2 linked regions of the Saccharomyces cerevisiae S288C genome follow. Changing the gene in region 1 together with any one later gene gives a genetic interaction. Each region holds a gene or a part of one and is shown on either strand. Other genes may lie near its edges.

Region 1 (3,655 bases):
ATGGATACACTAGTTTGTGTTTCCACTACTTGTGCATACACATTTTCTGTGTTTTCTTTAGTTCACAATATGTTCCATCCCTCAAGTACTGGCAAACTCCCAAGGATCGTTTTCGACACATCAATCATGATCATTTCATATATTTCCATCGGGAAATATTTGGAAACTTTAGCTAAATCACAAACATCAACCGCACTTTCTAAATTAATTCAGCTCACTCCATCGGTGTGTTCAATTATATCTGACGTGGAGCGGAATGAAACCAAGGAAATTCCCATAGAATTATTGCAAGTGAACGATATAGTGGAGATTAAACCAGGGATGAAAATTCCTGCTGATGGCATCATAACAAGAGGTGAATCTGAAATTGACGAGTCGTTAATGACAGGCGAATCCATTTTGGTGCCCAAGAAAACTGGTTTTCCGGTTATTGCTGGTTCTGTTAATGGACCTGGACATTTCTACTTCAGAACTACTACCGTTGGGGAGGAAACTAAATTAGCAAATATTATCAAGGTAATGAAAGAAGCACAATTGAGTAAAGCTCCCATTCAGGGGTATGCAGATTATTTAGCCTCTATTTTTGTTCCGGGGATCCTAATTTTGGCAGTATTGACTTTCTTTATTTGGTGTTTTATTTTAAACATCTCGGCTAATCCTCCCGTCGCTTTCACCGCAAATACTAAGGCTGATAATTTTTTTATTTGCTTACAAACTGCTACTTCTGTTGTCATCGTCGCATGCCCATGTGCATTGGGACTTGCCACGCCGACTGCTATAATGGTGGGTACAGGGGTTGGAGCTCAGAATGGTGTCTTAATAAAGGGCGGAGAAGTATTGGAAAAATTCAATAGTATTACTACTTTTGTTTTTGATAAAACAGGTACCTTAACTACAGGTTTTATGGTTGTGAAAAAGTTCCTTAAAGATTCAAATTGGGTTGGAAACGTGGATGAAGACGAAGTTCTCGCCTGTATAAAAGCAACGGAATCCATTAGTGACCATCCAGTTTCGAAAGCAATTATACGTTATTGTGATGGTTTGAACTGTAATAAGGCTTTAAATGCCGTTGTTTTAGAAAGCGAATACGTGCTTGGAAAGGGAATAGTCTCAAAGTGTCAAGTTAATGGAAATACTTATGATATTTGTATTGGGAACGAGGCGCTGATTTTGGAGGATGCATTAAAAAAATCCGGATTTATTAACAGTAATGTCGACCAAGGAAACACTGTATCATACGTATCAGTAAACGGGCATGTGTTTGGCTTGTTCGAGATTAATGATGAAGTTAAACATGATTCTTACGCAACAGTTCAGTATCTACAAAGAAATGGATATGAAACGTATATGATTACTGGCGATAATAACTCAGCAGCAAAAAGAGTCGCTAGAGAAGTAGGTATAAGCTTCGAAAATGTTTACAGCGATGTGTCACCCACAGGCAAATGTGATCTCGTGAAAAAAATTCAAGATAAAGAAGGTAATAACAAGGTTGCTGTTGTTGGCGATGGCATTAACGACGCTCCCGCTTTAGCACTGAGTGATCTAGGTATTGCCATTTCAACAGGTACGGAGATTGCTATTGAAGCAGCTGATATTGTTATACTGTGCGGTAATGATCTGAATACTAATAGTTTGAGAGGACTGGCCAACGCCATCGATATTTCACTAAAAACGTTCAAAAGAATAAAGCTGAATTTGTTCTGGGCACTTTGCTATAATATATTCATGATTCCGATTGCTATGGGTGTGCTCATTCCTTGGGGCATAACTCTTCCTCCAATGCTCGCCGGTTTAGCGATGGCATTCAGCTCGGTCAGTGTCGTTCTAAGTTCATTGATGTTGAAGAAGTGGACTCCACCGGATATTGAATCACATGGGATTTCAGATTTCAAGTCCAAATTTTCGATTGGGAATTTTTGGTCAAGGCTTTTTTCTACGCGGGCTATTGCAGGTGAGCAAGACATAGAATCACAGGCCGGACTAATGTCAAACGAAGAAGTCTTGTAAATAACAGGTAAGTCTAATTTATTTAAAAAAATCCACGAGCATATAGATTTATAACAATAATAATAATTAATATTCATCAATTTTTTAGTAAATTCATATATTTTACTCCTACTCTATGTATTTTCAGTAAGTCTACTAGTCGTATTACCCGTCGGTTTCAAGGGATATTATGGAGGTAATAAGGATTTTTTTACCGATTTAAAAACCCATTATATCCCTCTTAGAAAAATTTTAGTATTCTTAGATAAGTTGCTAGATTTACCAATATCAAAGGGAAGACTGCAGGACAACACAAAAACACAAGAAAAGGAGGACAAAAAATGCAGGTTAAATCGATTAAAATGAGATGGGAGTCTGGTGGTGTTAATTACTGCTATCTATTGTCCGACAGTAAAAATAAAAAATCGTGGCTAATCGATCCAGCAGAGCCTCCTGAGGTTCTGCCAGAGTTGACTGAGGATGAGAAAATAAGTGTTGAAGCAATTGTTAATACACATCACCATTATGACCATGCAGATGGTAACGCTGATATCTTGAAGTATTTAAAAGAGAAAAATCCAACTTCAAAAGTTGAGGTTATAGGAGGGTCAAAGGACTGCCCAAAGGTTACGATAATTCCGGAGAATTTGAAAAAGTTACACCTAGGTGACTTAGAGATTACTTGTATTAGGACGCCCTGCCATACCAGAGACTCTATCTGTTATTATGTGAAAGATCCAACAACAGATGAGCGCTGCATTTTTACTGGCGATACACTATTTACCGCTGGTTGCGGTAGGTTTTTTGAGGGTACAGGCGAAGAAATGGATATAGCTCTGAACAATTCTATCTTAGAAACTGTGGGCAGGCAGAACTGGAGTAAAACGAGGGTTTATCCAGGACACGAATACACAAGTGATAATGTAAAGTTTGTTCGTAAGATTTACCCGCAAGTTGGTGAAAATAAAGCATTGGATGAGTTAGAACAATTCTGCTCCAAGCATGAAGTCACAGCAGGGCGGTTCACTTTGAAAGATGAGGTAGAATTTAATCCATTCATGAGATTAGAAGATCCAAAGGTCCAAAAAGCTGCCGGAGATACGAATAATTCATGGGACAGAGCTCAAATTATGGATAAATTGAGAGCTATGAAAAACCGTATGTAGGAAAGCCAACAGAGTATAATATACTTAAAAATATTCTTTTAGCATACCCTTTTATTTCAATGTATAAGAGTTTTTGGAACGCTACTTTATAACATTCAGGTCTGTTCACTAGAACTCTTGTAGTTGTGCCGTCATAAAAATTAGTCTTCGCGTGGCTGAAAGAAAAGTTCCAATAATACGGGCGGCTCGAGTAGAGTAATCATTGCCGTCACAAAACCATTTTCGGGTAGAAATAAAGCAATGGATATTTGAGCTCCAGAATTAAAATGGCTTTCCTTTTGCGGTTTACTATCTACTTGACTTTGGCTGGTATTTAAACACAAGTAAGAGAAGCATCAAACATGGGAAAGAAAAATAGAAAGGGAAAAGAAAATAATGCTGCTAAAACCTCTTTTCTAAAAGTAGAGAATATTAAAAACACTAATTCGGGATTGGAGCTTCCATCGCAAGACTATACAAACGTTGAAGAAAAAGAAAGTAGCCCGAAAACTGACTTTCCA
Region 2 (3,811 bases), on another chromosome or scaffold:
GGTCTTCTACTGGAAAGTCGTTTTCATATTCAGAAAGAATATCTAATAAGATGTAGTTTTTATGATTTGTTATACATATGGATAGAATGGATTGTCCTTGCTCATTTCTGTAGGTCAAAATATCCTTGTATGTTGCCAGATCTTCTACTTCATTTGTGGGGTTTTCACATGACAACTTATCTAATAAATTCTTAGTTTTTTCACATAATGTGTTAGCTTTCGCCACGTTGCCTGTATTTTTGTTGAAGTCTTCGAAATAACAAACCACTGCTTCCAGTGTGGATACAGCATACCCTAGAATGCCGAATTTTGTAGAAGAAGAGTTATTCGAAAAATTTTGCAAATAGTAAAGATGACTTTTAAGGTGCTTTTGTTCACTTCTGCAAACAACGAGCACAAAAAGGCTAATTAAAGTGTCTGCATCCATCGTCATGTTATTCAATCCGTCTGGTAGTTCTAGTTGATGTGAATCCATTTCGGTAGTACCTGATAATTTCTGTAGAGTTTCAACTAATATTTTAGATTTTTCAGCGTATGAATGGGTCAAAGCCAACTTTTGAAGATGTTTGGACGCTAGATGGAGACGCCTTTCAATAAGAGTGATGTCGTGTAATTTAAATTCCCCATAATCTTTTGAGTAAAAATCTGTCAACAACTGGTTCACTGAAAAATATTTATTTTTTCAGTGTCTACTTCGTGGCCTTTGAAATGTGTAGTAAGCCTAGACCATATATCATCGTAAAGATTTAGTTCAAAATAGTCGTGTATAAGATCGTAAAGATTAGAAAAGTTCTTGAAAAGTGAATCCGATTTCATTCCATCAAATGCTTGTTGCACGATGCTTTCAAAAATACTTCTAGATGGATCATCACCAGGAGCGAGCGTTCTGTAACTCGAAAACAATTGGCCAAGCTGTGTTAATCGAGCAGGATGAATGTGCAATATATTCTCGAATGACGATCTTTCTTGCTGAAAAGAATCTATCGACAGATTTGGCATAGCATGTGCATTTTTTGGTATTTTCTCATAATTGTGAAAACACTGTAAGTAGTCGTTAGGTACAAATTCGCAATTTAAAGGTTGATCTATGAATAGTATGATAAAATCAGCCGCCCCTTCAAAGTAGTCATTAAAATTGGGTAATATTTTTGTCTCTAGAATCTTTAGTCTTCGCCTTATATGAAATCCATTTAAGGCATGGATCACATTATTCTTCCATTGAATAACAACGGTCTTACCATCTAACGTTTCATAATGACTGTCCCTTGAATTCGTATTTATGTAAGAGTTTTCAGTCATTAACAATATGTAAGAGTTAATAAACTCTGCATTATAACAGAGGTCATGTAACGGCAGTTTGCTCTTGACATCGTGGTAATTCAAAAGGTATTCTGAAGGAGGTGCTAGGAGGATAAACCTACGGGTTTTTAAATTAGCGAAAAGCTTTTTCAATGGGGATCTTTCTGGTTCGGGACAGTTAAATATAGCATTAACCAGCGGGTTCAACAGCGTTGGTAAATGGTAAACTGACATTGTCAACCCTAGCTAAGCCATAGCTTTTCCGTTGAGGAATTTACAATAAGGTGGTTCCTTTAGTTATAAATTGCAACTGCCAAAATTTTCGGGTAGCGGCAAAATTAAACGAAAACCTTCTGTCATATTAAACATAGTTTAGTGACGCAATGCACACACACTCATATATATGTATATATTTATCTATATCATAGGTGTAAGGCAAAGTTATCACGTGAATATACTGTTTAGTATACAAGTACGTTGATTTAACGGCTGAGAGATTCTCAAACAAAGTAACGCTTAGTTTAGCTAAAGTAGAATCGAAGCGCAGTGAAGGCAAGACGAGTTATCCCTTTATCACAAAATATAAAAAATAGGTAAAGAGGGGGGTGGGGGTGGTTCGGACTTTGCATCTCGGTGCATTAGTACCACTCAGCTTCAGTTATAGGAATACTGACAATGTTCTTGAGCCAGGGAGAACTGAAATTTCCATACCCTTTAACCCTTTATTCTTGAGCATATGATCTTATTTTTCCACTCAGCACAAAATACACATCCCGCATATGATCTGGACACTGAATAAACAAGGGGCTTTACGATGGAGTAGTAGACCTGGATACGTAGTCACCACAGGGATCCTAAACTGCGTCATAGTAAGTTTCTTTGATACTAGAATGTCCCTCTCTCGTAGTAGTTGATATCCCGTATTTCTAGTTAGTGACGTTTATAAATAGGGAGAAAAAAAATCGGAATAACATTTCCATGCCTTTTTTTTGACACTTCAGACCAGATACGCCACCAGCTACAAACTAACAATGTCCACTGATAGTACACGCTATCCAATTCAGATTGAGAAAGCCTCGAATGATCCAACCCTTCTGCTTAATCACACATGTTTAAGAGTCAAGGATCCAGCAAGGACCGTTAAGTTCTACACCGAACACTTCGGTATGAAGCTATTAAGCAGAAAGGATTTTGAAGAAGCAAAATTTAGCTTGTACTTTTTAAGCTTTCCAAAAGACGACATACCCAAAAATAAGAATGGAGAGCCTGATGTTTTTAGCGCACACGGTGTCTTAGAACTAACTCACAATTGGGGTACTGAAAAAAACCCAGACTACAAGATCAACAACGGGAATGAGGAACCTCATCGTGGATTTGGGCACATCTGTTTTTCTGTATCCGATATCAATAAAACCTGCGAAGAGCTAGAATCTCAGGGTGTCAAATTCAAGAAGAGACTCTCTGAAGGAAGACAGAAGGACATTGCGTTTGCTTTAGGCCCTGATGGATACTGGATTGAGTTGATCACATATTCTAGAGAGGGTCAGGAATACCCAAAGGGCTCAGTAGGTAACAAGTTCAATCATACCATGATTCGTATTAAAAACCCAACCCGGTCTTTAGAATTCTACCAGAATGTGTTGGGCATGAAATTATTAAGAACTAGTGAGCACGAAAGTGCAAAATTTACGTTATACTTTCTTGGTTATGGCGTTCCAAAGACCGACAGCGTTTTTTCATGTGAAAGTGTGTTGGAGTTAACTCATAATTGGGGAACTGAGAATGATCCAAACTTCCACTATCATAACGGTAACTCAGAGCCCCAGGGTTATGGTCACATCTGCATAAGTTGTGATGACGCTGGCGCCCTTTGTAAAGAAATTGAAGTGAAATACGGCGATAAGATCCAATGGTCTCCTAAATTTAACCAAGGCAGAATGAAGAATATTGCCTTTTTGAAGGATCCTGATGGTTATTCCATTGAAGTCGTTCCTCATGGTTTGATTGCCTAAAAAGTTGAAATGAATAGGAGGTTAGTATTTTTTTTTTACAATAATGACCATTCTTGTTGACTTTTCATACACTAATTATTATTTATATTTTGTATTTAAGTACTTACTATAACGTCGACATCAACGCATACATGCCAAATATCTGGTGCAAAAGTTTTTATGCGTTCAAGCTTAGATCTCACAAACTGAAGTTTGATGCCACGGTTTCTAATTAATGCAATTGACTCATTAATAGCGTCGAGTTCTACAATGACATTCTTTTCGAAACTTCCATCCTCAATTGCATCTATGTGTACATTTTCATGTATATGCATTGTCACTTTTTCCAAAGAAGCTCCTTGTAAGTAAATTAATTTGATGGCCAATGGCCACCCTTGTTTGCTTGAAGGCAGGAGACCTAAATTAATATGCCTAATACGTAACCGAAATCCGGGATTCTGAGATAAGAATTCAGTAAGCCTTTGAACGCACATTTCATTTGATTCTTGGAAAACGTGGCA

Evidence for each region.
Region 2: of GLO2 (region 1) and GLO1, changing one enhances a phenotype caused by changing the other (phenotypic enhancement), as found in Saccharomyces cerevisiae (one study listed by BioGRID).

What each region holds. Positions count from the first base shown.
Region 1 is NC_001136.10:1,006,680-1,010,334, forward strand, and holds GLO2 (hydroxyacylglutathione hydrolase GLO2), read left to right. Parts: upstream 1-2,330; coding exon 2,331-3,155; downstream 3,156-3,655. Other genes in the region: Cu(2+)-transporting P-type ATPase CCC2, read left to right, coding at 1-2,010; DON1 (Don1p), read left to right, coding at 3,497-3,655. UniProt on the Saccharomyces cerevisiae protein: Thiolesterase that catalyzes the hydrolysis of S-D-lactoylglutathione to form glutathione and D-lactic acid.
Region 2 is NC_001145.3:261,205-265,015, reverse strand, and holds GLO1 (lactoylglutathione lyase GLO1), read left to right. Parts: upstream 1-2,330; coding exon 2,331-3,311; downstream 3,312-3,811. Other genes in the region: VRL1 (Vrl1p), read right to left, coding at 1-475; YML003W (uncharacterized protein), read right to left, coding at 661-1,533; TRM12 (tRNA(Phe) (4-demethylwyosine(37)-C(7)) aminocarboxypropyltransferase), read right to left, coding at 3,407-3,811. UniProt on the Saccharomyces cerevisiae protein: Catalyzes the conversion of hemimercaptal, formed from methylglyoxal and glutathione, to S-lactoylglutathione. Can use gamma-glutamylcysteine as a substrate.